Rhinolophus ferrumequinum: one gene and its partners. The protein of the gene in region 1 purifies or fractionates together with the protein of each later gene. This does not show direct contact. Links are inferred from orthologs where the notes say so. Each region holds a gene or a part of one and is shown in the gene's direction. Other genes may lie near its edges.

Region 1 (7,228 bases):
TTCATCACCTTCTCTTCTTTCTGTTTGGAATATTTCCCTCCATACATCCATCTATTATAGTCTTATGGAGCCTTCAGGCCCTGGCCCAAGTCCATTGCCTTGGGACGTCTTGCTTAATTCCGTGATGCCAACCAGTACCAGGATTCAACCCCTTGGCGTTCCACACCACATTTGAGGCACTTTTCATGTATTATCCTTATATGATTATATTTAAGGCTTCTATCCCCCAAAAGATTGCAGTTTCTTAATGTCAGTAACCATTTTATTTACTTTTATGTCTTATGCATTGTAGGTACTCATTAACAATCTGATGAAAACATGGTATTGTATAGGTTTTCAGATGGTAGGTGTATTAGTTTGCTAGGGTTGCCATAACAAAATAGCACAGACTGTGTAGCTTAAACAACAATAATTTATTTTCTCACAGTTCTGGAGGCCGGAAGTCCAAGATCAAGGTGTTGGTTATTCTTAGGCCTCTCTCCTTGGCTTGTAGAAAGCCACCTTCCCACCGTGTCCTCACATGGTCTTTCTTCTATGCGTGTGCATCACTGGTGTCTCTTTGTGTCCAAATTTCCTCGTATAGGAAATTTCCTCGTATAGGAAACACCAGCCTGATTGGTTTAGGACCACCCTAATGGCCTCATTTTACCTTCCTCTCCTTTTTTAAACACCTTATCTCCAAATACAGTCCCATTCTGAGGTACTGAGGGCTTCAACATAGGGATTTTGGGGGACACAGTTCAGTCCGTAACAGTAGGCATGCTTAAGATATGGAGAGGACTATTTTTTTCTTTCTTAAAAGAACTGGAATAAGGAAAACAACCTAAACAGTATTAGGAGGAATTTAAGAGTCAATAGGAGGACAAGTCTAACACTGAGGGTTTAAATGTTGGGATGTGCTGTGTGAGCAAGACTAGCTGCCTTATCTGGAACCCTTCAAACTTATAATATTTCGGCTTTCAAGGTTATTTTAAGAAAATCACTTCAGTTGATGTCTGGCCCCTTCAAAGTAATCTGTAAAAATAATAGGCATCTGAGAGTAGTTTGACTTATTTTTAAACATAAAATCACAGTCTACAACAGGACCTGGTCTGAGGCCACCTCCTTCATAATGTCCTTTCGGTGTCTCTAGTGAAATAGTACGTCTTGTGCCAGTGAAATAAAAATGTGTGTGTGTTTTTGTCTTTTCATTTATACTTCTTATAAGGTACTTAAATCATGGGTTAGGTTGACTTTTTGTACTTGTCTCCCTTGTCAGATAAAAAGCTCATTGATGGGGCTTGTGGACATCATTGTATGTGTTCACTGGCTCTTGGAGCTGTGCCTTGTACATGGTGATATCAGAGACAACTGACGGTAGCACATGTCATCCCTTTATTCCTCCCCACCTGCGCAGCAGGTAGCCAGGCGAGCCCATTCCTTCAAGTAGTAGCTGCTCATAAATACATATTGAGTGAGTAGAAATGCCATTTAATATACCGCTTTATGCCTCAGAACCCCAACTGTGCTACATGAGTAAGAAGCTAATACGCTTAGGGCTGTGGAGGTAAGGAAAGCTTGCACAAAATGCAAAGGAAAATCCAATTTCACTTACTTGATGTGATTTTAATTGGGACATTAGGACGTGGGTTAAATTACTTGAGGGTCAGCTAAGAAGGTCATTGCAATCAATAAAGTGAAGATAAGATCTCTACTATTTGATTTCAGGTGACTTAGTATAAATGTTAACTCAGCAGGACACGGGGTGGGGAAGGGGGAAAGCACCAAAAGTGAGCAAGCAGGTCTCAGAGCTCTGAGAGGGGAGTTTTATCCCATTAGCTGGACCATCACAAGCTTTTCACACTGTTTAGTTGCTTCATACCCCTGCAGACTAGAAGTGTAACAACCAGTGATCTCTAAGAAGCTAAGCCTGAACATAGGGGCCAGTTTCTTCATCTGCAAATGTGGAGGCGAGGAGTGGGAGAAAACTAGAATAGCCCCCTAAACATTCTACATGCTTAAAGAGAACAAAGGAAACAAAGGTTCCTGCCTTTTAACTCTACAATTAATACATGGGCGAGGTAAATCAAAGAAAATGAAAAGCAATTCTAATCCTACCACCCAGAAATAATTACTGTGACGACTTCTGTGTATGTTCCTCCAAGGATAGATAGTTATACAGACAGACACACTAAAATTTCTCCCACAAAAATGGAATAGTTTTGTAATACTCTTCATAAACGTGCATATCAACTTATAGCTACAAAAATAGTATTCTTTAGTATGGATGTACCGTATTTTTAAAAAAATCAATCTATGGTTGGACATCTAAGTTGTTTGCATTTTTTCCCTGTTGTAAAAGACCCTATGATGGACATCCTTATAACCAAATCTCTCCTTATTTCCTTAGGAGAAATTCCTGTACATATGAATACTGGTTCTGTAGCTCTTAGTAGAACTCATTTCTCAAGGTGGGAATCACAAGTTGGTCTCTTAAGTTCTTTCCCAGAACAGCAACTGAAGTAGTTGTGAGAGACAGAACACCATGAATTGATACAATTTAGACTCCCTCTGCCAGGATGGAACATCTCCAAAATGTACTTCATACTTAAAACTACCCTTTGAGTAGTTATGATTGATTGTCTTATGGCACAGTTGATTGGTTCCTTCAGCAGCATCATTCTTGCCATGAGATTTGGGGGAGGAATGATTGACATCCTCTCAGCTCTTGGGGAAGTCTTTATTGGGCATAATTCCATCCCCCTTAGCTGTGATTGATGTCCGCTAGGTGACAGGGGTTACTCTAATCACAGTGGGGCTCGGGACTTTAATCTTGTGACTGGTGAAGAGGTGTTTTGTTCTCCCTGTGAATGAGGAAGCTTGTAACTCCAGAGCTGTTAGCAGACTTCCAGGGACCACATGGGGAACGAGCCTTATGATGACATACCCTGAGCTGGGTACTTGGAGATAGGAAGTTGCTGGATCTAGTCTTCCCTGAAGCTGGTCCTATTGCGGACTTGCAATTTACATGAGTTGATACATTCTAGTTATTACTTGTGCCACTTTGAATCGGTTTTTTTGTTGTTGCCTAATGAATGAAATTGTAGTAGGGCAGAGAGATTCCAACACCAACCTACATTAATTTTTCTTTCCAGCAAATTCAGTTTGCTTATTTCATATGTTTCACCTATTTTATGACTTCAAAATAGACTTCTCAGAATAACAGACTTTATATGGCCTAGATTAGCCACATCCCTCACCACTCCATCTTCCATCCCTGTACACAGGGAATCCCATATCTTTGCTCAGGCCCTGACCTTTCCCCTTTGAACCTGCCTTCCAGCTGCCCATTGGCCATCGCAGATTTTAAGTTCAAGAATCAAAGGATGATAGTGTCACATTCTCTTAACCCGGTCATAACTTCTGGGCACTTAGCAGTATGTTGACACATTCAAATGTGTCCTGTATAAGGAAGCATCAGATGGATTCTGGTTTACCTGTCGGTCAGGCTGACCTGTGAGCCTTTTAGGGCAGAGCCCGTGTCCCGTGCATTTGTGCAGTTCAGATTCTTTCACACAGCAGATGCTCAAACTTGGATAACTCCTAGGTGAGCCCACAGTCCTCAATTATTATGGTGGGGCTACTACTACCAATAAGTTTTGAGGCTTAAATGGGATAAAGAATGAAGACAATTGCCTATGTCAGAGGTTTTAGAGCAGTGCCCTCCCACCTTGGCTGCAAACCGGAACCAGCTTGAGAGTTTATTTAATCAAGACTGGGTCCCGTACCGAATTAATGGGTCTGGGATACTGTCTGGGCAGGGGGGTAGTTAAAAATCTCTCCAGCTGGTTCTACCGAGCAACCGGGACTGAGAACACCTATTAAGAGACTGTCAAAGGCGCCTCCAGCCGATCGGTGCCTAAAGTTTGAGTTCCTTTTCGTCTCCCCTTGGTCTCTGCGGCCTCGCTCCTAAACCTATGCCTGTCCGTTCACCCATAGCGAGGAATTTCCGGGAAAACAGACAGGACCTGCGGGCGTGCACACACGTGTACACAAGCCCCGTCCGCAGGCTGACGCGCTGCCTCAGCGCCGCGCCCCCCGCCCCCGGGCGCCCCGCCCTCCCAACCCCGCATCCGGGGCCGACCCGCGCTTGGTCCTCCAGCCCCGCGTTCCGCGTGGCAGCGGTCCACCCCCCGCGTCCTGGCCTCCGCATCCGGGTCCCGACCGCACGCCCTCGGCGCCGACTCCCACACCCGCGCCGCCTTCTTCCTCTCGCGAGGAAGTCCGGGCGACGGAAGTGCCCGGAGCGCGCGGCGGCGTTGGCGGCGGCGGCGGCGGCGGCGGGCAGCGGGAGGGAGAGGCCGCCCGAGGGCTGCTCGCAGGTACTTCCGCTGTCGGGGCTCTTCTCGGGAGGGCTCGGGGTGAGGGCGGCGCGGGCGCCAGGCCCCGTTGGGACGCGGGCGTGTGCGGGGAGCCTCTGCCGGCCTCCGACTCGGGTGTCGTTGCAGGGTCGCCCCCATGTTGCGTTTTCCGACCTGTTTCCCGTCCTTCCGGGTGGTGGGAGAGAAGCAGCTGCCACAGGAGATCATTTTCCTGGTCTGGTCACCCAAGCGGGATCTCATTGCTTTGGCCAACACCGCGGGCGAGGTGAGTGAAACGGCTGGGAGCCCCACGAACAGCGAGCCGGACCGACAGCGAGCGCGGACACACTGCCCCAGCCTCAGTTTCTCCTTCTGTGAACTTGGCAGGCCACCTGTCTACCCTACCCTTCCTTCCAGGTCGGCTATAAACGTCAAGTGAAAGTATATAAGGGAGCATATACAGGAAAGATCATTTCTGTGCCCATTTTCCGTATTTTGTGGCGAAAATACGTTTTCACACAGCTGAACACAATCACACACAGTATCGCCACGTCTCTTTTAGCCGATGATTTGTTAAATGGCCTTTTTATGAAAGCCAGTGATGTGTTGTTACGCGTGAGCTACACGGACTGGTAGATCCACAGACCCTGCTGGAAGTGTGCTTGGAGTTTAGTAACAGAAGCAAGATGAGTTATTGTCAAACTGGCTGCAAACGTCCATGCATGTAGCTGCAGCAGAGGGCCTGTTTAAGCATCTACATTATACCGTGCAAGTCTTACACCATGGGTGGGACAGCCACCACCCATTAAAAACACCTTTAAATTAAACAAGGTAGTGAGTGATACCTCCCTGGATTCCTGACAATGTGCATGAGTGTTGTCAGTTAGCATTTCTACTTCACATTATGTTATGCGTCAAGTACAACAGGTTGTGCCAAACTTTCTGCGGAGAGTTGTTACCTGGTAGCCATTTTGTAAGGAAACCTTCACCGGTGAGTGTTCCCTCCTTCGGCCTTTTGGCAGGTTTCCTGAATTACCTGGCCAGGTGAGAGTTGTGTTGTGATGGTAAGGAAAACTCAGCCTGGGAAACTTAGCAGCCTGCAGGGCCGCATTGCTGTGTTGGCTGCCATGACCTCAACGCCAGGGTACTACTTTCTCAGGGCCCTCCATGAAATCTCATCTTTCTCCCCTGCCAAGGTGCATTGGAGCTCTGACATGGCTCTAGAGAGGAATGCGGATAACCACAACCATATCAGTAGGAGGGAAGGGAGAGAATGGGGGCATCAGTGCGATTAGATGGGTAGATATAATCGTGGGCACTTGCTGATTCCACTGACTCAGTGAGAAGAAAGGGCGCTGTCTAGAGAAAAGAAAATATTGGAAGTTTGAGGAGAAAGGAGAGAGACGCAAAAGCCAACAAGGCAAGTTGACTATGGAAACCGAACAGGATTTCTGGTCATTATTAAGAGCCACGTGAGGTTAGTGGTCTTGGTAAGTTCAAGGGAAAGTAGTGACTGTGGTTGTACTCATATGTTTCTTCTGTTCTTTTGGCTGTGTGGATGCAGGCATGGTTGAGTTTAACCAGGGTTGTTGTTTTGCAAGTATGACAAAGCAAGAGAGATACTAAGAAGTTGAACTATATGTGAGAGGACTGGTTGTAATGATGAACCTGCATTCTATTCTAACCTGATTAAGTGGGGAAGTGAGAGCACGTGTTGGGTAAGGGACAGTGAATAGAAGGTAAAATCAATGGATTGTGTGTCTTGGTGAAATTGAAGAATTGAAGTTGGATATTAGTAGGAATGAGCTGGAAAGACAGAGGTGGTGATGGAAAGTGGGAGGTTTGAAACTGAGCTTAGGGCAGCATTTATACTTGTTGGTAATGACACAAGGGCAAGGGTGGGACCCTGGGAGTGACTGAAGTGAGGCAGAAGACGTGATCATTGGAGCAGAGGTAGTTGAGAACTGAAAAGCTCTTGAAATCACTAAGAATGATGATGAGTAGCGTTGAAAAGCATGAGTGAGCCAGGCAGGAGTCCATATCTTGCAGGAATGAGGGAACTGGTCTAGAGGTCTTTAGATGACTGCAATTAAGGGAGATAGTGTGTGGTACGGTCTGATTGCATAAGATTTGAAGTTAGAGGATTTTAGAGAAAAGAAGAAAAATCATCCAGAAATGACATCAAGCATCAGGGAGGAAACCTGCTTCATCTCCTAGCCCAGTAGTACAGGGGACATGGCGTGCAAAATGGCCACCCCCTGAGTATCCTCGGGTGAGAAGCACATTTCAGAGAAGAGAATGAAGGTATAGGGGATCTTGATGATACCTAACCATGAACTCCAGAGGATGCAGAGGAAGGATTTCAGAAGTAAGGAATGGCAGAGATGGGCTCAGAGAAGAGCACTGACTGACTCTAGGGAATGAGCGATTCCTTGGGAGTCCTGGCTTCCCAGGGGACAGTGAAGGACGCTATGAGATAAGGCAGGGAGTGGTTAAAGCTGTGAATGTGGGGTGCTAGGAAGGTGTGGCGGGGTCTTCAGGAGCACATGCAGTTCTACCTTTTCTTATTTTCAATGGTTGTAGAGAGGATGGAGTAGGGACAGTCTTATTTTTGAAGCACAGGGAACTTTGGGCACCATCTTGATCCTCCAAGGTGGAAATTGACTAGTGTGAAAATGGAAATTTACATAGAATGGCTAAGTGACTTGTCCAACATCCATGGCCAATAAGTGACACGGCTGAAATCAGATGCAAGTTGTCTGATTCCAAGTTGACTGTTATTTGATTGTATCATGGCTACCTTTCTAGTGCTATTTGTGTTCTCCCTTTTTTTGTCATCATCTTGGACATTCTTATTCTTTTCCAAAAGACAAGTTTCTTGTTGACAT
Region 2 (7,770 bases), on another chromosome or scaffold:
CATTAGTTTAACAGCAACTATGGCTTTTTAATTCTTCACAGTGGCTTTGTGTAGGGAGTTTCCATATCTGAAACTGTTCTGAGTTGTTGTGAATTTCACCTATATTTTAAAAATATAGCGTGCTGTCAAATCCAACTGATTACAGAACCCATTCCTTCATATCCACATTATACACGCACGTACTACATCAATAGTCTCTAGGAATTAAATATGAGTAAGATTATCACCTACCTTTCAAATTATACCTTTGGTACCTAACCATGGTTGAGTTATCAAAAGACTTCTAATTGGCTTTATATCACTATCATAATTGTAATAAAATTATCAAAATAAAATTATAATAAAACATGGTAATGCTTTCTGATAAGAAACAGCCCACATTTTTCATTATAAGAACTTAAAGAATTATGTTTTCAATAATATTTAGTACTTAATTTTTACTAAAGATAACATTTTAATATCCTATGGATGCAACTGGAGCATTGAAAATTATGAAGTATGCCAGTACAGAGATGTATTTGTTGACTTTATTAAGCCACTGCTTATTAATAAAAATCATGATTCAAATTTGTTGTGCTATCTTTATGAACATGTGGACCAACAATCAGGATCTTACGGGTAAAGTATGTGGAAAAAATGGATCTTTAGAAGATTTACATCATGCAATTTAATTCTTAAGCCCCCAAAATATAAACATTCATTAGATCTACAAAATAAACCTTAAGTGATCAGAGCTGAAAATTTCACATCAAATGAGAAATGATCTATAAAAAAAAACAACTTCAATATTTATGACAGCATCCTTTTTTTAAAAAAAAGCAAATTCCCCAAACTGACTTAATTAAATACCTGTATGCACAGGATTTTTCTTCAAAATTTAGTAGGCGAATGTCTTATTAAACGTATCACAAAGGAAAGCATCTGTCACTGTTTTATCAGTTAGAATAAATTGCTCTATTTCAAGATGTTGGCCTCAAGAATAAAATAACTCCTGACAATTTGAAGAAAACCTCTCCTAAGTCTGTAAGAGTAATGATTCAACTATCTAATTTTTTTATGGAAAACAAATTAATATGCAAATTAAATGTAAATATTAATATACATATGGGTACGTTTCTGGGTGTGCATTTGTGCACCCGCACACACACTAAATGTTTAAAAGAACGATACCAATTCTGTAATATATTATGGCTTAACAATTCAAATACCTCAGAAACCACTAAATTCATTTTTCCTTTATTTTACTTTCAACTGAAGCACATACACAAGGACTGAATCATGAAAAGGTATTATTTCACATGTAAACAGTGCCATCTTCTGGCAGCTGGAACTGTTTGCGGATTAAGATAAAATTTATTTGGATTGTAACTGCCATTTTCTTGGTAAATTGTGTCTACAGGTTACTGAGTAAAAACTCTTAGTCTAAAAGCTGTTGATTTTTTTAAATAATCTTTGAAAAATAAGAGCCTTGTTTAGAATTCCTTCTGATAGATATAATTTCAAAAGAGACAAGTCATAAACCTTACATTCTGCTACTAAATCTACTAACTAAATACTGAATCTTAAACTATATAGCCACTCTGGACCTGTTTCCTCATCTATAAGATTGTTCAACTAAGCCATTAATTAAGTTACTTTCCGTCTAAAATCCTCCTTGATTCTACCTGTAGAAATGTTTATGAGTATTTCTGGCTTTAGCATCCTAATACGGAATATAGTCCTGTTTACGACACGCGCTTTCATAATTATCTTTGATTAATATAGATTTGTTTGGTTATGCACTCTGCTTGAATTTTTCTCAAAAATATATCTTAATTTATACTTCTCCCTGTCCAAATAGACTTCCCCTAAACAAGACACATTAGAAAGAACTGACTGCATTGTAAATGAAGGTAAACTCGAGTAACTGAACACAAGTTTTGAAAAAATATTTTGTAAAGTGTGCATGCTTTAGATAAGATGGGGTCAACGTCAAAGCAAGCACCCAAAAGTTAATGGGAAAAAAATCCCTCCGAAGCTTCTAGAATCTTAAGTGTTATGACAATAAATAAGAGACAGAACAGGCTCAGAGTTTGGGCAGCTCTTCCTAACACCCCCATGGCTTTGGCCAACACTACTGCTGAATTGCAGGCCTGCCATCTTGGACTTATCTGTACTACCATTTCATTCTTCCTCCGTATCAGTCATCAACTCAATTCTTGTTTCCAAATGTCTTGCTATGATGCATACCTTCTTATTCAAACTCTCTAGCATCCATCTAGTCCGGGCTCTCAACCACCTAGGCCAGCACCACTTAAGTATCTATCAGTCTTCTGCTTTTCAAAGAGTGATTCAGAGACTTGCATCAGAATCATTCGGGATGCTAGTTAAAACATGTCTTCTCCGAGACCCCACAAAGTAGACCAGCACTGCCCAATAGAAATATAACATGAACCACATACGTAATTTTAAATGTTCTGCTGGTCAGGTTAAAAACTGAAAACAAGTGAAATTATTTTAATAATATATTTGATTTACTGCAATGCACAGAAAATATAATTCCAGTGTGTAATCAATTGAAACACATATCAATATAATACTTTATATTTTTTATAGTAGTAGGTCTTCGAAATCTGGTATTTTATACTTTTAGCGTACCTTGATTCAGACCAGCACATTTCAAGTGCTCGAGAGGCACCTGTAGCTACTGGCTGTGCTCCTGGACTGAATCAGACTTGGAGAACGGGGAATAGAAGCCAGGAACCTATATATTTACCAAAATATCCAAGGGATTCTTTCACATTCTCAAATTTGAGGACCACCACGCTAGACTGTCCTTTATGCGATTCATTCTACAACCTTTACTGAATTTACATTTGCAAAAGTGCCCTTTAATTATGTCAGTCCTAAGAACCTACAAATCCCTGGTACCTCCTGTTCCATCAAATCAGATGGGCGTTCAAAGCTCCCTAGAAGTGGCCTTACTTCATCTATTCAATCCGCTCTCCAACTGGAAAACGTTTTGGGCTCTTCCATGAAGTTTTCCTAGACAAATATTCAAATGCTCCTCATTCAACAAATATTTGTGGAGCACCCACTAAATGCCATCGTGGGTCCTGCACCAAGACAGGGAAGATACACCACAAGTCCTCAGAGAATTATAACAATGTAACAATTAAATCAATGCTCTGAAATAGCGCTGTGAGATGCTTTGAGGGGTTAAAAAAATTTATTTAATGCAGTGACATTTAAGTTAAAAAAGAATATAAATGTAATTAGCAATTTGAGCAGATAAAATGAAATTTCTAGGCAGAGGAGAGAGCATTATGAAAAGTCCCGAGGTGGAAAAGTTGCTAAAGGACCAGGCAGAAAGGAAAACAACCTGAAAGGGGGCTACTGAAGTAGACAGAAGCCAGGTAAAGCCAAGTTTGTGAGCCTTCAATTTTCTTTCACTTTTTATTTTTTTTAGGTATGCATATTTAAGCTAACCTAGATTACAAAATTTTCAAAAAGTACAGACCACCTTCCTAAACCTTATTTCTTATATCTCCTCATAGAACACAAAGTATTTAATAAATATTTCCTGTATGGAAAACTTATGTATTTTGGTAAGCTTTTAAATTCTAGAATCTCCAAATTGTACTAAGTATTTGCATCTTCACATAGACAATTTACAAAGTATAATCTTTCCCGCAGTGCTGAGTGTCAATATGAAGTTCCCAGAAAAAGACACAATCTTTATGTGGGGTAAGGTGGCCATCGTGCTCTACAAGTGTGATGCCAGAATTCTGACTCTAACCAAATTCCCTGATGGAAGGAGTGAAAAGATGGTGATTTAAACACACACATACCACGTACCGCCAAGACTAAACGATGTAAGAAGAATACTATTGCCTGTTTTACCTGTTTTACTCTTCAAACTGATCAAAATCTGATATATGCCAGACTGAACTGGAAGATGACGCCCTAAATCCGGGGCCTCTAGGGAGTACATCCTTGAGTGGTCAGAACCTGTGAATTTGAGGGGATATTGCTTCCAGGATTAGGTTCAAGGCCAGATTACCTGACTGGGTCTGACCTAATCCCATGAGCCTTTAAAAAGAGACGTCTCTGAAGTTAAGAGACTTCTGGTGACAAGACCTATGGAAGGATGACCTGGCAAAGGCACAAGAATGGACTCTGGCCAACATCTGGCAAGAACCACGAGGACATTCACTCTGCCAACACCCGAGGGGCTTGGGGAACCCCGCCTTAGATGAGACCTCACTTGCAGACACCTTTATTTCACCCTAGTGAGACTAGCAGACCACCCAGCTATGTCACGCTCAGGCTCCTGACCTACAGGACGCAGACACTAAATGAGTGTTGTTTTAAACCACTCATTTGTGGTAATTTGTTGTGTAGCACTAGAAAACGAATTAACTCAGACATTCCTTAAATAAATAACATAGTACGTCTGGTAAAGTTTTTCAGAGCCATTTTACAAATAAATGTTCCAGCCTCGTGAAGAATAAAATTATTTCACAATGGCTGTGAACATTAAGGGTGCACCACCTCCATTACACTTCTCAGCCTAACATGAAAAGTCACTGAACGTGGGAGTCCCGATTCCCTGGGAAGTTCTTCCGTGTCGATGGGCCCTTTGGGGGACGGGCCGTCACCTGCCGGTGGGCGGGGCGGGGCGCGGCGGGGCGGGGCGGGCGGAGCGCAGGCGGGGCTCCACGGGCGGCCCCGCCCCCGCCCCCGCCCCCGCCTCCCTGCGGGGTTGGGGTGGAGGGGAGCTGGCCGCGGACCGACGCAGACGCGGGACACTACGGCGGCTGGGTTCGCCCCGTTAGCCCCGGCCCCCTTCTCAGCGAAAGCCGCGCTCCCGCCGTGCGCAGGCCTCTGAGGCTGTGGCTGCGCGGCCGGCACGCGGCTGCTCTGCGAACCCCCGAAGAATTTGGCAAACGCTTCCACAGTCCACGGGGGGTCCCCAGGACCACTAGAGACGCGGCTGGCGGACAACTCGTGGCACTTTGAAAATATCCTTGAAACTCAGAAACTGTGCTCCTGGTCGCTAGGCAGCGGCCAGTAACACCGGGGTCTGCCCGCTCCCCTCGGTCCCATCCAGCCGACCACGGCCACAGGTGACCGACAGGTCCCCACCGGCGGCGGACAATCCGGGACAGCCGACCACGCCTCCCCACTGCGACTGCGTGATTCGCCAGCTCCCGCGAGGGCGGAAGGGCGGGCTGCGCCTGCGCGGAGGCGACGGCGCGCTGCGTCGTTACTTTTGAAACCCGTGGCGGGGAGCTGCTGCCGGCGCCGTCCGCGAGTGTGCGCGCGCCGCGTCTGTGGGCCTGGCCATGGCGCTGCAGCTGTCCCGGGAGCAGGGCATCACCCTGCGCGGGAGCGCCGAAATCGTGGCCGAGTTCTTCTGTGAGTCCCCCTCGTGCAGGCCGCAGGCCGGAGGCCGGGCCGGGCCGCCCGGACGCCCGGGAGACCCGCGGGCGGCCCTGCGGCGGGAAAGCGGGTGGGCCGGAGCGGCCCAGGGTGCAGGCCTCCTGCCCGCCGGGGGACATCCGGGAACGGGCGGGCGCGGGCGCCTCCTTCGGACGCGACCCTAATTACTGGTGGGGGGGAGGCCTAGTGTTCTCGAGACCCTGCCGGGGAAGTACCCCTTCTCCGAGCGCTTCTTTAAAGTCCCCCCCCCCCGCCATCGCCCGTCGACTTAGGACGTAGTGCGACTGGGCGGAGTCGAGCGTGTGTTGTACCCCTCCCACCCCGAGGTGACGGATTGGTGGGGACGGACCGGCCTTTGGCAAGCGCTGTCCTGGACCAGGCCACTTGTACCTAATGACAGAACCTGGCAGGACTTGCGAGGAGAGGAGGGAGGAAAACAGAGGGAGGGGCTTAGCCGCTTGGGGCGCAGGAGCCTACTCTGAGATCCTCTAAGCACATAATCAGAGTTTGCACTTGGATTACCACGAGGGGACATTTGGCAGTGGTAAACTGCATGTGTGGCATTTTTCTTTTATTGCCAATTAATTGCAGGCATCTCTTACTTAGAAACAAGATTTTGAGGCTGTTCCGTGGTACTTTGTACCACTCTGCTTTCAGCAAGACACACAAACACAAGTGTTTAGGCATTTATAGCTTATTGCTATTAATGAAACCGCAGCTGCATCTAAAGATGTTTTGTTTTCCAGTGTTACAAAATGATAATAACTTGTCGTTATCATTTCTTTTGCTTTCAGCATTTGGCATCAACAGCATTTTATATCAGCGTGGCATATATCCATCTGAAACCTTTACCCGCGTGCAGAAATATGGACTCACCTTGCTTGTAACTACTGATCCTGAGCTCATGAAATACCTAAATAATGTGGTGGAACAACTAAAAGGTATTTAATTGTTGGAAACAGTTTTGAGTTTTGTAGGCCTAGGATGTCCATTTTCCAAGTAGGATTTTGATGGTCATTTTTCAACTTTGTACATAGCAGGTGTAAAACACACGACCATCTCAAATATAGTGGCTCTCAATTGGGAGGAAGCAAATAATAAAAATTGAAAGAAATCCTACCCATCACATTTTGAGTGGGCTGAATATTTTGATGTTAGGATTCTGATGTGGCTTAACAAAACTGTCTCTATCGACTTCCTTGGAAATGCCTTTTGCAGTTTGGCCAATGGAACAAGTTGGAATTTTACATAATTATGATAGTGTTATTATTTGTGAACAAAACACTATATATTAATGTATTTTCTGTACCTGCTTGGAGTGTAACGCCACCATTATTAAGATCGAGGAAATTAAATTGTATTCAACCTCGGAACTAAACTTCAAAAAAAATAAAAAAGGAGAAAAAGAACTACTCTATAATAGAGCACCTGTAGGTAGAGTTTTCTTTTTCACCTATTTCCACTTTTGTTTTTGAAAAATCCTGCCTGTGAGTCAGTAAGCCATTTCTAAATACTCATTTTTTTTCTTTAGCTCAAGTAGTTGCTCTATGGTTGGATCAGTACTTGTTTTCCATCTATTTCTTTTTTTTTTTCTCTCTCCTAGAATCCCATCAATTTCTCTTTCATGTTTCTCTCCACTTGTGATTCTCACTTCTAATTTTTCTGGATTGTAGGATGTTTCTCCCTATCTTCCCAAAGTACTAGTTCCAAAAAGTGCTATGTGGTGGCTTTCTATTTTTATTTTTATAATGTTTTAATTCACAAATCATATTTATCTGTTTCAAGTAGCTTCGTTTTTAAGATGAAGTGGCAGGCATCATGTTTTTAATTAACTTCGGAGCTAAATCGCCCGTAGCCCTTTATAAGGCTGCACTCGCAGAATCTGGCCTGAAACCTCTGGGCAACTGTGGATCTGTGTCTTCATCCTGATTTGATGGAGAAGCGAGACTTGCTTAAGCTACTGGGATTGGGGGTTGTCTCCTTGGAGACCACACTGGTGATATTTCATCTCAGGTATCTAGACATTCCTATTTAACATCTCCCTTTTCTTTTAGTTAAAACGGAGGAATTATTCTTCCTAGAGGTAAATTGTCCAGTCTGCTTCGACTCCACTCCCTCTAGCCTTCTTATGGACTCCACCCTATTTCTTCTCTCTTGTATTTTTGTATTCTTGTATTCTTTGTTTTGATTTGGATTATTTCCAGTTTTAGAAGGAAAAAAGCCCTCTCAATCCCCCCCTTTTCAGAGCGAAACTGATAAAAACGTGGATCCGGCCCGCCTGGCTCAGCAAGGCCAAGAGGCCGCACCCAGCCTACGGCTTGGTCTGAGCTGTCTGCACGCTAAGAA
Region 3 (7,469 bases), on another chromosome or scaffold:
ATTCTTTGTGTGGATTTATCAATCTCACAAGTCTGTTTTAGCACTATTTCTTTATAGAGATCATCAACTTTTCCCCTGCCATGTAGACAGTGATGTGTTCTCCTTCAATCCCATCAGCATATAAACATGTTATTTTTTCCATCTTATAAAAAAAGGAAAAAAAACTTCTGTCCACCTGATACCACCCATTTCCTCCTTCCCTGCAAAACAGGGCTTTTCAACCTTGACATCTTGATGTTTTGGACTTGATATTTAAATTTACAATTTTAAATTTCTACTTCACTTTATTGTGCAGGTCTGCCCTGTGCATTACAGGATGTTTATCAACATCCCTTGTTTCTACTCCTAGATGCCAGTAGCAAAGCAAGCCCCACCCCCAGTCTCCAGACATTGCCAAATGTCTCCTGGGGGCAAAATCACCCCCAATTGAGAACCACTGCTCTGCAGCAAAACTCCTCAAAAGAATGATCTATCTGTACTGTTGCACACTAGTCTCCCCCATCCTCTCTTCACTGCCCCACCAAAAATGCTCTTGTCAAGGTCACCAATGACTGTCATGGTGCTAATCCAATGGCCATTTCTCATTTTGTTTGACCTGTTGCCATATATATATATAGATACACACACACATATGTGTGTATATATGTATATATACACACATATATACACACATATATACACATGTGTGTGTGTGTGTATATATATATATATATATATATATATATGTAATTGATTATTCCTACCTTCTTGGAACCATATTCTTCATTTGTCTTCCAGAACCCCACTGTCTTACTTTTCTTCCCACCTCACTGGCTGTTCCTTCTCAGCCTCTTTTGCTGGTTTCTCCTCTCTGACCTCTTAATAGTGAGATGCCTTAGGGCTAACTGTGTCCTCACCTAGAGAGCCAATTATTACATCCCAAGGTATTTTGTCTGACAGTTGTTTTGTTACAGTTGGCAGCTTGCAGTTGTCCATGGTAAGAGTATTTACACCATGAAAATTGGCAAACACTACAAATCATGGCTTCCCCCTCACCAGCTGTTACACATTTACCTGTTTATCAACTGCCCCAGTCTTCAAACTCTCTTAACTACACTCACCCTCTTGGTGATCTTATCCAGTCTCATGGGTTTAAACACCATCTCACTCTTCAAGAATTAAATTACAAGGGTAAAAAGGAAAGGGAGGAAGAACCTACATTTTTAAGAGACATAATCAGCCAATTGCAAGAATGGACCTTGTTTGGATCCAGATTCAAAGAAACCAACAGTAAAATATACACAAACAATTACTAGACATGACTAGATATTTGATGATATAAAGAATTATTGTTGTTAGATGTGATCATGGTACTGTCATTTTGTTTAACAAGGAGTCTCTCTTTTAGAGAATACTGAAATATTCATGAATAAAATTATATAATGGTTGGAATTTGCTTCAAAATAATTTGAAGGGTAAGGAGGAAGGTGGGGGGTGCTCTGTGAAACAGGATTGGTCATGAATAGATAATTGTTGAAGTTGGGTGATGGTTTATGGGGACTCAATATACCAATACCTCTATTTTTTAATATATTTGAAATTGTTCTTATAAAGTTTTTTTTAATGGCATCTGAATGCTGAAAACTCCCAAATTCATACCTTCCTTCTAGACGTCTCTGAATTCCAGACTCAAATACCCAGCTAGTCTTCCCAGCATCTTCCTTAGATTCAGATAAGTATCCAAATCTTGGAGCATTATACTCCAAGATGCTTCTCCCCCAGTCTTCCCCACTTCAGGAATGCAAAGAAGCATCCCACCTACTCTTGTGAGATGGGTTTACACAGAGATGAGAAAATTTAACAATCACAGATTTAAATACGGTGGATAGATGTACAAGGCATGAGGTCATTAGTTATCAAATGAATTGTCCAAACTGTAATTCCCATTCAGAGAATCGAGGGATTAGAGGAGAGAGCAATCACTTTTTAGAAAGTATGGCAATTTCAACTAAAAATGTCTCGAGTCTATGAATGTTGGTTTATTCCAGGACTGGAGGATATGTGACTTTGCAGTAGGATGTCAATCCAGATATGAACCTAACTATATTTTACACTGCCGTGTAGAGAGGGTAAATTGGTGACTGTCATGTGGTTTATAGGTGTGTTTATTTTTAATTGTTTCATTGAGGTATAATTTACATAAAATAAAAATCACCCATTTTAAGTGTATTATTCAATTATTTCTTAGTAAATTTAGAGAGTTGTGCAGCAATCATCACAATCCAGTTTTAGAAAATTTCCATCAAATCCCAAAAGGAGGGATCTTTTGGGAACCGCAATCACTTCCCAATTCCTACCTTCACCACCAAGCAACCACAAATCTTTCTGTTGCTGTCGGTCTGTCTTTTCTGGATATTTAATATAAATGGAGTCAGAGATTATATGATTCTTTTTCTGTCTGGTTTCTTTGACCTAGCATGATTTTATTTTTAGCACAGCACAATATTTTTGAAATTCATCCATGTTATCAGCAGTTCTTTTTATTTTTGTGCCGAATAGGTTACACTGTACAGATATACCACATTTGGTTTATATAGTTATCAGTTGGTCAACATTTGAATTGTTTCCAATTTTTGGCTATTATTAAATGTGATTTTAACTATAAAATATTTCAAATGGAGAGAAACGTATAACAAGCATTTATAGTGTTCACTGTGTGCCAGACATTGTTCTAAGTGTGTTAGATACAGTGGTGTATCTGGCATGTTTGACACACAGAACAGGTCAGTTTTTACACACACACCCCTCTTTTTTCTTCACTTTTTTTTTTAGCAGTTCTAGATTCAGAGCAAAACTGAGTGGAAAGTAGAGAGTTCCCAAATACCCAATTGCCCCTGCTGTGTCACAAATGCACAGCCTCCCTCACTGTCAACATCCACCACCAGTGTGGTACATTTGTTACAGCTGATGAACTTACACTGAAATATCATTACCAGCCAAAGTCCATAGTTTATGTTAGGTTTCCATGTTGTATATTCTATGAGTTTTGACAAACATAATGACATGTATCCACCATTATAGTATATAGTTTCACTTTCATAAAAATCCCCTGTGCTCCACTGATTCCTCCCTCCCCTCTAACCTCTGGCAACCACTGATCTTTTTACTGTCTCCAGTTTCATCTTTTCCAGAATGTCATACAGTTGGAATCATGCAGTATGTAGCCTTTTCAGACTGGCTTCGTTCACTTAGTAACGTGCATTTAAGTGTCTTCTGTCTTTTCATGGAACACCAAGACTGTGTTTCAACAATTGACAAATCTGTTTATAGTGCTAATTGAACATGAATATACAAAGACAATGACTTTTGACAGTCACTGACAATTTTGCAGAATTTAAGGACCAAAAACAGAAACTGTATTTTATTCATTTTCTTGCTAATCCAATAGGTAGGATAAGTCTTTCTCAATACATTAATGTATTTAAAAAGTATTAATCCATTACCTTTTTGTACTGTAATAGTGGTTTTACTTTGCATTAAAAATTGTACTAGCATTATTATTTAGATGAAGTTTAATAAATATTTTCACGGTCTGTTTCTTTTCTGGCCATTATTAGTCATTTCATTTCATGATCATTACTGAAAGCATTTTTTTTTTTTTCTAAATGAGGGGGTGGCCCAGAGAATGAGAAGGCAACCTACAGGCTGGGAGAAAATATTTGCAAAACACATATCTGATAAAGGACTATTATTAAACATACAAAGAACCCATAAAACTCAACAATAAGAATACAAACAACCTGACTGAAAAATCAGAAAAAGATCTGAACAGATTCCTCACCAAAGAAGATATACAGAAGGCAAATAAGCATGAGAAGATACTCGACACCATGTCACTGGGGAATTACAAATTAAAAAACACATGTTAGGATGGCTAAAACTCAACCTAGCCAGTATTCATTCTGAGCTAGTAAATCATTTCACAGGGTAGAAATATTCCCTTTTAGACCCAAGACTGCTATCCAAAGGCTGAACGAATCCTGACTCCAGCAGGTACAATACCTGACAAGAGGGGGCGTGGCGCCTTCAGCCTAGTGCGCAAGCGTGACTGTAAAAGCAGTTAGGACTGCCCCTGGCGCCTGATTAAAATATTCAAATACAACTATTGGGGCTTTCCCCCTACATACAACCTACTGTGTTCTTTTATTTATGATTAATGTTCATACATTTTTATTAATTCCTGGGAGAGACAAATTCCTCTCATACTCATTTCCTTTGAGCATGTATTCATACTGAGGTGCCTTTTGTCTCCATCGTATTTTTAAGTCCTCAATAAAATTTGCAACTCAGAACGACATAGCTTTGCTAGAAAAAAAAAAAACCCAACAAATTAGTTCACCTCACGAGGGCTTGGGGAACTGAGTTTTATTTATTTACTCAGGCACTTCAGTAGTTGCCTATTTTTCTGGGGGCGATGCCTCATATGGACCCGATGGACCCCGGCGAGGCCGCCATTTTGAAGTCTTCCTTAAAGATATTTTACCGGCTTTTCGTGCCGCTACTGCCGCTCCCTGCGGCTTTGCCCGGCAGGATGAATGTGATAGACCACGTACGAGACATGGCGGCCGCGGGGCTGCACTCCAACGTGCGGCTCCTCAGCAGCTTGTTACTTACAATGAGTAATAACAACCCGTGAGTTGAGGCGGGGAGCGGCCTGGGGCTGAGGAGAAAGCAGCGCCTGTTCGGGAGCGAGGGCTGAGGGGGCCTGGGGACTGGCGGGAAGGAGCGGCCGCGGGCCCCAGCCCAGCTGAGGCTCCGGGGTCAGCGAGGCCTCGTCGAGCCGAGCTGAGTTAGGAACGCAAGTTGAGTTCATGGGGTCCCCGCGTTGTGCCAGGCGCTGGGATGAACTCGCTGCGGGAGATGTGTCGTGCGGCGACGGCTCGGAGAAATGGAAGGCGGAGGCTCTGAGGACCTCCCTGGCGAGGGTTTCCCGAAAGTTGGGAGCGTAGGGTTTCCTGAGGTACCTGTCACCCAGCACGGCGACTGTCACATCACTGGGCTGACTTCTCCCTTCCCAGCTCCTTCCTGAGGAACGTTTTCTCCCTCGACGAAGCTCAGAGGCCAGTCCCCTGGTTTTATACCTTCGTCCTACATCCGAGACTGATTTTTATCCGCCTTGAGTGTAGTTCCTTTTCTCGCCTCAGCAAACCCCAGAAAACGGGAGATTCCCTTGATTGGGTGGGAGTGGCGCCTTTTGAAGGACTTGCAGTGCGCCTTTCATGTTTTAAGAGCTGCCGTTTATTGAGTCTAATGACGGAAGAAATACAGGGCCCTTGCCAGCCTTGAGTGCATGTCGCTCCCCTGCTTCAATTTCTCCATTGTGCTTCAGGTTCTTTCCCATGGCCAAGGGAGCCACACATCTTTCTCCCCCACTTAATCTCATGTCCGCTGCTCACTGTTCTCCAGCCTCCGTGGCTCTTCTTGCGGATACTTGAACACGTGCCAAGCTCATTCTCAACTCAGGGCTTTTGCATTTGCTGTTCTGCTTAGAGTCCTTATCACAGACCTGCCTCCTCCTACAGGTTCCAACTCCGATAGCCCGTAAGAATGGCTCCTTACCCTCACTAGTCTATCCCTTTGCCTTGTTTTATATGCTGCATCACTTTTTTTTAATCGAAATATCATTGACATGTAACATTACGTTCGTTTCAGGTGTACAACAGAATGGTTCCATATTTGTATATATTGCCAAATGACCACCACAGTAAGTCTAGTTAACATCCCTCACTACACATAGTTACAAGTTTTTGTCTTGTGATGAGAGCTTTTAAGATCTATATTCTGCACCACTCTTAACACCGAATGAAGTCAGCACACTGGCTGTGTGCAGTAAGCCCTCACGCTTATTGAATGTGCTAAGGAAGTGCATACAACCTCAGGGAGGGGAAATACCCTGTCCAAGTCCACACATTTAGTCATTGGAGGAGCCACGATGTCTGGATTTTGGTCCCTTTGACTCTAAGGTCTCCATTCTGACCTACGACAGTCTCTTGCCTCTAAATAGCATTATAATCGAATCTTCTACCCATTTGCATTTGGCATCCTCTTGAAGCTGTCTAGGTCAGAAAAGAAAGGCCCCTTAAGTGCCTGTGATGCCGCTGCTGCTCCCGATTTTATTTCCATTAGTGTGCTTTTGGACCTCACTACGTGCGACTCATCATTTTGCCACCATCCACTTAGTGTTGACAGGGAGGAGCCCTGGTCTCTGTCAGCCTTCTGTGTTTATTCTGGAGACTTTCGCTTGGTTCTGAGTGATTTGTCAAGGCACACAGTTTCCACCATTGGGAATGTATGCACCAGTTATTCTTGGTTCTTGAAGATGTTACAGGATAGTTAGATGTTACAGGATAGTTAGATGTCACAGGATAGTTTGATCTTCTGATTTGTTCATATTAGGTTAACTGGCAGTTTCCTAGCTTCAGGAGGCATTTAAATTCTGACCTTTATATTTAAAATTTTCTTACTGAATTGGCAATACAACACAGTAAAAAAATTCAAACAGAGCAGAAGGGGTATGCAGATACGTACCTGTCCCTGAATCTTGAACCTCACTGTGACATTTCCCTTCTCCAGAAATTCCCTTCTCCAGCAAAGAGCTATTAACAGTTTCTTACATCATTCCAGAGATAATTTTTGCTGTACACATAGACGTGTGTTACAATATAAATATCTGAGTGCTTTCTCTGAGTATAGTAACTTTTTCTATCAAATCTTATTTTTCATTAAATACAAAGAATCTCAGAATTGGAAGAGATCTTAACTATCTGGACTATACCTTTCAACTTTTCAGTCCTTGAATTTCCTTTGTAACTTTATGCAGTGTTTAGAGTTCCTATCTTTTTTTAAGATTTTTTTTTTATTAAGATAAAATTCACATACTGTGGAATTCACCCTTTTAAAGAATACATTTCTGTGGTTTTAAATGTATTCACAAGAGTTGTGCACCTATCACCATTGTCTATTACAAAATGTTTTCATTACTCGAAGAAAGTAACACCTTATATATTTGTAGTCACTTCCTGATCCCACTTCCCCTGTTCCTGGCAACCTCTAATCTACGCTACCATTCTTGAGTATCCTTCATTTGTTGAGAAATTAACTGTCTGTTCTTTCATATTAAGCAGCTGTAGCTTTTACCTATCAAAGAAAAACATGTAAACTCAACTTGGGAAGAAGTAGGTGGAGGGTTGGGATTGGAGATTAGAAATGTGAGTTTCCTATTAAAAATGGTAGCCAGCTTCTAGGCAGTTATTAACACTTGTGAGCAACATTTAAGGTTAAAGACAAACTTTTGAAACACTGGTTCCATTATACTATCCTGAAGCCCCTGAGACTCAAAGAGATAAAAATTCTCCTAGTGCCGGTAAAGTTTACTTTTGTATATAAAATTTAAAAAACTTTTGTCAAATAAGGCTAATCATTTTATCTCA
Region 4 (7,280 bases), on another chromosome or scaffold:
ACCCCCCCTCGGTGAGCCTTAGGCTAATTGTTTGTCGTGTGGGGTGACAGCACCTGGTGCCACTTTCCTGGTGTCGGCCTGCGACCACCACCCGGCTTCGGCTCCTCCTGTGGGCCCTTGCCCAGCAGTGGTGGTCCGTGCTGAGCTGGGTGGACAGGACTGTCCAGGTGCCCAGCAAGCTGGGACATGAACTTGGCTCTGGAGAGAGGCCCAGCCGACAGCAGGAGCTGCTGGGAGCAGAGGATGTGGCCCCCACTGCAGTCTTACATGGACTCTGCTCCTGCGTGGAGCCACCCAGTGGAGGGAGGTGTGGCTGGTCTCTGCTCCCTGAGAAGGCAGGCAGCCCTCTGACCTGCGAGCTGCCTGAGGCTTATGGAGACCCCGAAGATGCTGGCTGGGGCCCGGTCCCTGGGAATGGTGGGTCACGGGTGATGTGACCCTGGGCCCAGGGTGCTGTGGGCAGCCAGAGCCAGCTGTCCTCGGGTCGTCGTGGCCTGGGCCTGCAGGGTCCAGGTGGACGGTTTCTCTGATGAGAGGCACCCCATTGCTCAGAGCCTCTGAAGGTCCTCCCCCCCACCCCGTGCCACACTTGGTCCAGCTGGAGGACCCTGGTGGCAGGGCAGTGGGGGCCTGGCTGATGTGCCTTCTGTCTGCAGATGAAGATCTCCTTCAATGACAAGAGCCTGCACACCACGTTCGAGTACCCTTCTGAGAGCTCCCTGGTGCAGGAGGCCGAGGCCCAGGCCCAGGCCGAGGGGGAGGGGGAGGAGGGCGAGGAGGAGGAAGAAGAGGAGGGGCCCAGCCTGAATGCCACAGTGGAGAAGCCCTTCGTGCTCTTCCTGCCCCGAGCCACGTTCGTTAACAGCGTGGTGCCCGAGAGCCCTCGGCTGCCAGACGGCAGCTCAGGTGAGTGTCCCCCGTCTGGTGGGCAGCCCAATGGGTAGTCTGGGCCACTTGTGCATACACCCACATGTCCACATGTGTACCCCTGGGCCTGCAGGCCTGTCCAGCTACACCCCCAAACACTCCGTGGCCTTCAGCAAGTGGCAGGAGCAGACGCTGGAGCAGGCCCCCAGCGAGGTGGAGCCCACGCAGAAGGATGTCATGGTGAGTGGGGTGCTGGGCGCAGGGAGGAGGGGGTCTCTTAATGCCTGGTCAAAGCCCCATTGGCTGCCTTCCTGCCTCCCAGCTCACCCCTGCCAGTCACAGCGACCTCTCAGACTTCCGAAGCGAACCAGCCCTCTATTTCTGACTCCAGCCCTGCCAGGATGGCCAAGCTCTGCCCTCGTTCTGTACCCACCTTCTGCCCTGCCAGGCTGTGCCCCCATAACCCACCCTCCCTTCCCGAGGCTGCTCCTCCCCTGGGTCCATCTGGGTCTCCCTCTCCAGCCCTGGTTTGGGGGCACTGCCTGTGGACGAGGGCCAGGTGCTGCTGGACGCCGTGCCTGGCAGCTTTGGGTGGAGGACCGGCTTGGCTGCCTGTCCTGCAGGACTACAAGCCCCCCAGCCCACCCCCTCACCCCCCACGGCTGAGCTCAGCCTGCCCCCTTTGTGACGAATGGAAATCTTTTGCCTCCGATGGTGGACTCAATAAACAGCACTGGACGAGCCTGCCTCCTTCATGGTCCTCAGCCGGGAGGGGGGTGCAGAGGCAGGGGCTCCAGTGAGGGGCTGGCAGTGGAGAGGAGCCCACGTGGGATTGGTGTGGGCCCAGCTTGGATGTCTGTGCCCGGGGTACAGGAGGTGGGCCCTCCCCCACACCTCGCAGTATTGCTGGTCCAGGTTGTCACTCCCCACAGTCCCAGCTACCCTCCCAGCCACCTCTTTGCCAAGGACAGGGACCCCCATGAGTGCTCCCAGCCGCTGGTGCAGCCCCCTCCCACCCAGGGCTGACACGGGGGGAGCTGTGGTAGGAGGTGGGACTGGGCCAGCTCTAGGGTCTGGAACCCTGCCCAGGGACGGTCAGTGCTGCCGCTGTTTTCTGAAGGGCCAAGAGCCTAGGCGGGGACCACAGGCAGAGGCGGGGGGCATGGGGGCAGAGCCTCAGGGACCTTGTGTCCTCTTTGGCCTGGACAACTCCCTGAACCACGAGAGCCCATGAGTTCCTTTGGGGTCGGTGCTGGTGGCTGGCAGGGAAGCCCAGCGGGCCCTGGGAGTGGTGGGCAGATGGCCGGGCTCTACCTGTCCAGTTGCTGGCCTGGAGCCGGGGCTGTTTACAGCCCAGATGTGGAACGTGACCTTGTCCCTTGTGGGGAGCCCAGGCTGGGGAGGGAGGATCTTTGGTGTTTTCCTGGGGGGGCAAGCAGCCACAGGGACCCCACGGGCTGACAGACCAGCAGAGGAGGACCCAGAGGACCCAGGCCCCCTGCAGAGCTGCAGATGGGCGTGCCTGGTGTGTGGCGAGGGGGTGGAGGCGGTGCTGCTGCCAGGCGGAGAGCCAGGAACCACGGAGCTGGGCACAGCTTTTGCTGAGGGACCTGAGCCCAGGAAGGCCACACCTTGTCCTAGACACCAGGGGGTGGCAGAGCCCCTCAGCAAAGGACGGGCTTCATGTGCCAGAGTCAGGGCCAGGGACCAGGAGAGAGGTGGGCAGTGAGGGTCAGCAGATACCCACACAACCCCGCCTCCCCCCCAGGAGCCACAGCGCAGCTAGGGGGAAGCTTGTATTCTGGGTGTAACGGGCAGCCGCCCTCTCCCAACAGGACACAGGCAGCAAACTGGCATGTACCTTTACAAAGACAACTTTTACTGACAGTCACAGGCCACCAGAGTGAGCCCTGAGGTGAAGGAGGGCCCCAGCCCCTCCGCCACTTGCCTGGCCTGGGCACCTGCCGGCAGAGGGAAAACATAAGGGGATTCCCATGATGCTGAGGCCAGAAGCAGGGCCTTCCCACAACCTGGGGAGATGTGGGGGCTTGAGAGCGGCCCCACGCGGAGCTGACCCAGAGCCCACCCTCCCTGTTGCCCGTGTGAGTGCATGGCTAGTACCCCCACCTGGTGGGCTGCGCCCAAGGGCAGTGGAGGTTGGCAGCTGCCTCTCTCGGCACGCAAGACGGTGAGAGAAAGCAGTTGCTGTCGTGAAGGACAAAGATGCTTTGAAGACAGACTTGCTGGGGGCCAAGCCATCGGTGGGCGCAGTGGAGGCAAGCCTCCCCTCCTGGGCCTCGTCAGCTGTCCTTTCCTCCACTGCTCTTCTGCTCTGAGGCTGTGGCCTTGCTCAAGTTCCCAGCTTCCTTCTTCAGAACACTAAGTAGAGTCTGTGAGCTCTCCAAGATCTGGGAACAGACACGAAATGGTTGTCACTGTCCCTCCTGTCAGAAGCACCCATAGCCCAGCGAAGAGGAAGCCCGAGGGGACAGGCGGATAGGGTCGGCAGGGCCTTTTTTCCCTCTGAGTCTAGCCCAAAGCCCCTTCCTCACTCCCTGGAAAGTCAGGTTAACTCTGGCCCCTGCTGCTGCCGCTCGGCTGCTCAGTCTGGAAGAAACCACAGGGTGGGTACTGAGTATGGTGCAAAGAACAACCGGGGACACACCAAGTCACTCCATGACGGGCCTGGCCGTGCCACAGTCCTGTCACTTCTGTTTGTGGGCATGGCAGACAGGTCCGCAAGCTGTCCCGAGCCTCACCTTGAGATAGGCTGCCTCGGTCTCTGCGATGGTCTGATCAAATTCATTTCGAGAGGCGATCTTGCGTGCCAGGTTCTCATTGACGCGGGCCAGTTTCTCAGTCAGCTGCCTCACCTCATTCTGCAGCCGCTGCTTCTCATCTTCTTCCTGCTGGATCTGCCGGCACAACTCCTCCCGCTTCTGGCACAGCTCCTCGATGCCTAGGGTGGGCGGACGGGGGCAGGGCTGTGGGCACAGGGCAGGCAGGAGAGCACCATCCCATCTACTCTGAATCCCAGTGCTTTGTAGGACAGAAAGGTGGTAGAGAGACCAGGTGCCGGCCGGGGCTCCCAGGGGTCTCAGGTTAAAGGCGGCACCACTGGAGGCCACCGGGCGCTGGGCCTGGAGGCAGTGCGAGCTCAAGCGATTCCTCAGTCCACAGATACCTAGCACCTGGTGCGTGGCACACCAGGAGCTAGGTATTGTGCGCTGGGCAGCTCCGAACCGCCTGCGCGCCGTCCGGGCCGGGCCACCCTCGCAGCCACAGGACAACTAACTTGGCCGTGTGCTGCGGGCCACCTACTGCCGGGGCCTGCAAGCCGGCGACCCCACGCCCTCCCCGCCTGCCCGGCAGGCCCCGCCGCGCGGCCGCTCACACTTGACCAGCTCGTTGTTGTAGTTCTGCATCGCCGCGCCCTGCTGGGTCATGGTCGCCGGCCACTCCAACCGCCGCTCCTGCAACGCCGCCCGCGCCTGCGCACTGCCTCTCAACAGCGCGCGCATCGAGTACGTCATCTCCGCGCGCCTGCCGTTCGCCTCACCGCTGCGCGCGCGCGAGCCTAGCTGTGCGTCATCAGCGCGCGCGGCGCCGAGCGGCTCTGGATGCTGGTGGGTGCTGATGGCGGCGGCGGAGCGCCCCGGGCCGACACAGCAGCTGCTGGCGGCCTGGAATACCGTGAGCACCGGGCTGGTGCCGCCGGCCGCGCTGGGACTGGTGAGGCCCGGGGGAGGGCGGCGGGCCTGCGCGGCGTTCCCCGGACCGGCGCGCTGCATGAGGGCGTGCACCCCGACCCAGCATCCGAGCGCCGCCGAGGAGGGGCAGCGGAGTTTCCGCAGCGGCCCCTGCGCCCTGTCCCTTCCCCACCTCTGCCACCTCTACGCTGTGTCCCCTGTTCCTCACGGTTTTCTGCATTCCAGGCATCCTCCCGGACCAGCGGTGCGGTCCCTCCCAAGGAAGAGGAGCTGCGGGCGGCGGTGGAGGTTCTGAAGGGCCACGGCCTGCACTCGGTCCTGGAGGAGTGGTTCGTGGAGGTGCTGCAGAACGATTTGCAGGCCAACATCTCCCTCGAGTTCTGGAATGCCGTCTCCCAGCGGGAGAACTGTGCCGACGAGCCCCAGTGCCTTCTGCTGCTCCTCGACGCTTTCGGCCTGCTGGAGAGCCGCCTGGACCCCTACCTGCGTAGCCTGGAGCTCCTGGAGAAATGGACTCGCCTGGGCTTGCTGATGGGCGCCGGCGCCCAGGGGCTGCGGGAGAAGGTCCACACCACGTTGCGGGGCGTGCTGTTCTTCTCCACCCCCAGAAGCTTTCAGGAGATGGTCCAGCGCCTCTATGGGCGCTTCTTGAGAGTCTACTTGCAGAGTAAGAGGAAAGGGGAAGGGGGCACAGACCCGGAACTGGAGGGGGACTTGGACAGCAGGTATGCCCGCCGCCGGTACTACCGGCTTCTGCAGAGCCCAGTGTGTGCGGGGTGCGGCAGTGACAAGCAGCAGTGCTGGTGCCGCCAGGCCCTGGAGCAGTTCCATCAGCTCAGCCAGGTCCTGTGAGTACTCGCGCCCGGGCCAGGCCCGTTCTTCTGATTCCCGCTTGCACCCCTGGGCCCTGCTGGCCTCTGCAGAGAGCTGGTGAGCTAGTTGGGGTCTCTGCCACCTGTCCTGGTCGCCATGGACATGACAGGGAGGGTCCACAAGAGCCTTGCGCTGTAACACCTTTTGTCCTGAACACAGGCGTGTCTGTCTGTGACTCAAGTTAGCCCAAGGTTTCACACTTTTTCACTAAGATCCTGTGTGATTCCAAGGTTCTTGGGCCGTGCAGAATTCAACTGTGCCTTTTATAGGCTGTGGGGGAGCAGTGGTGCTCACCCTGTCCTGTAATTGCAGAAGGTGGGCTTGTTATTTCTTCTTTTTGGGAACAAGTTGGAGATAAGGCTGGCATGCTGGGCAAGCAGACACCTCCCTTTGAAGAGGAAAGGATTCTGTTGTTAGAGCCATGCCTTGTTGTACTGGCTCTCCACCTTCTGTGGCCACTACGACAGTTTTATCACGTTGAGAAAAGTGCCAACAGTGCAGCTGTTAGGGAGAGGGTCTTGTTCCTGGACCTAGGAAGTGGTCCTGTTGCTGGTAGGGATCAGGGAGGCCCCAAATGATGTCTGCTGGGTTCGCCCCAGATGAGAGTCACACACAAGCATTCTTTCACGTTTCCTATCTTGAGTCCCTTTGCCATTGTAAGCCAGGGTTGGCCCTGAGCGGCACCAACCATGGCATGTGTACACATGTGGCCAGGTGGCAATGTGTGTAGTTGTTGTTTCCGAGCCATTTCTGGGAGATGAGACTGGCCCCTGAATCGTACATGCTGCTCACATGGGCAAGGTCAGCGTCCCAGCCCATGCAGAAAGGCCAGCTGGGGAGGATGGTCAGGGCCTTGCCAGTGCTGTTTCCTCCCAGTAGCTCTTCCTCAAAGCCCTGTGTACCATGTGCCTCCACCAGGAGGGCCATGGGAGGTGTGTGCTGGGTGTGGGGGTGGTGTGTGCAGCCCATGCGCTGTGCACGTTCCATGGGCAGGGCTCTCCTCCAGACACAGGCTCAGTCTGCTGGAGCGGGTCAGTGCTGAGGCCGTGACCACCACCCTGCACCAGGTGACCCGGGAGCGGATGGAGGACCGCTGCCGGGGCGAGTACGAGCGCTCCTTCCTGCGTGAGTTCCACAAGGTGAGTTCCACATGGCCCCCTCTTGGTTTGTGTCCCGTTAGGACTGGGGAATAGGTTTCTGGCAAACCTGACACCCTGGCTTTAGAAGTAGCCCGAACGTGGAGGCCAGGTGAGCCAGGACCTCACGGGTGGTTGAAGCTGTCTTACTGCTGGGTGGAGGCTGGTCCCTGTGGGCCTTTTTATCCCCCCCCCCCCCCCACCCCCCCCCCCCAGCGACAACCAGGAAGAGCTTGCGACGTGCGCAGCAAGGCCTGTATAGAATCACGTGGCTGGAGGCAGTGAGGGGCCTCAGGGCACCCATGCTATTGGGGCGTGGTCTGGGTTCTGCTCTGAACTCCTCAGAGTCACGGAGGACCTGGCCCAAACCATGGGGTGCCGACCAGCTTGGAGTCTGCCTCCTTAGGGTACAGGTTAGCTGCCATGGGGGCGTAGAGCTGTCCCACAGCAGTGGTCTGGAGTGGGCGTGGGCCTGGAAGCGTGATGGGGTAGCCCCAAGGCTGCAGAGTGTCGGGTGGTCTTCTCGGTGGTTGGACAGTCTGCTGGGGGGACGTGTGCATCCCCGAGAGCACGTGGCAGTATGTCTTGTAGACGTACATGATGTGCTCAGAAATGTTCTCGCTGGATGCTGCATTGTCTGCATGTAGGGGCTGGTCGTGTATGCAGTCCCCAGGGTGTGTCTGTCCTCAGGGGG

Evidence for each region.
Region 2: the proteins of ANAPC4 (region 1) and MAD2L1 purify together in Homo sapiens (affinity purification with western blotting; 14 studies listed by BioGRID and IntAct, with this or other methods). This does not show direct contact. The link is inferred for Rhinolophus ferrumequinum from reciprocal best matches to the Homo sapiens genes ANAPC4 and MAD2L1.
Region 3: the proteins of ANAPC4 (region 1) and ANAPC7 purify together in Homo sapiens (affinity purification with western blotting; 14 studies listed by BioGRID and IntAct, with this or other methods). This does not show direct contact. The link is inferred for Rhinolophus ferrumequinum from reciprocal best matches to the Homo sapiens genes ANAPC4 and ANAPC7.
Region 4: the proteins of ANAPC4 (region 1) and ANAPC2 purify together in Homo sapiens (affinity purification with western blotting; 12 studies listed by BioGRID and IntAct, with this or other methods). This does not show direct contact. The link is inferred for Rhinolophus ferrumequinum from reciprocal best matches to the Homo sapiens genes ANAPC4 and ANAPC2.

Annotation. Positions count from the first base shown.
Region 1 is NC_046288.1:71,131,616-71,138,843, reverse strand, and holds the start of ANAPC4 (anaphase-promoting complex subunit 4), read left to right. Parts: upstream 1-4,225; 5' UTR 4,226-4,361; intron 4,362-4,487; 5' UTR 4,488-4,497; coding exon 4,498-4,626; intron 4,627-7,228. UniProt on the Homo sapiens protein: Component of the anaphase promoting complex/cyclosome (APC/C), a cell cycle-regulated E3 ubiquitin ligase that controls progression through mitosis and the G1 phase of the cell cycle.
Region 2 is NC_046301.1:3,654,786-3,662,555, reverse strand, and holds the start of MAD2L1 (mitotic spindle assembly checkpoint protein MAD2A), read left to right. Parts: upstream 1-4,751; 5' UTR 4,752-5,327; coding exon 5,328-5,400; intron 5,401-6,218; coding exon 6,219-6,365; intron 6,366-7,770. UniProt on the Homo sapiens protein: Component of the spindle-assembly checkpoint that prevents the onset of anaphase until all chromosomes are properly aligned at the metaphase plate.
Region 3 is NC_046308.1:6,116,798-6,124,266, reverse strand, and holds the start of ANAPC7 (anaphase-promoting complex subunit 7), read left to right. Parts: upstream 1-4,452; 5' UTR 4,453-4,453; coding exon 4,454-4,671; intron 4,672-7,469. UniProt on the Homo sapiens protein: Component of the anaphase promoting complex/cyclosome (APC/C), a cell cycle-regulated E3 ubiquitin ligase that controls progression through mitosis and the G1 phase of the cell cycle.
Region 4 is NC_046295.1:83,295,174-83,302,453, reverse strand, and holds the start of ANAPC2 (anaphase-promoting complex subunit 2), read left to right. Parts: upstream 1-4,311; coding exon 4,312-4,599; intron 4,600-4,802; coding exon 4,803-5,425; intron 5,426-6,456; coding exon 6,457-6,589; intron 6,590-7,280. Other genes in the region: TPRN (taperin), read left to right, coding at 657-906, 1,001-1,107, 1,190-1,252; microtubule nucleation factor SSNA1, read right to left, coding at 3,168-3,275, 3,627-3,826, 4,262-4,313. UniProt on the Homo sapiens protein: Together with the RING-H2 protein ANAPC11, constitutes the catalytic component of the anaphase promoting complex/cyclosome (APC/C), a cell cycle-regulated E3 ubiquitin ligase that controls progression through mitosis and the G1 phase of the cell cycle.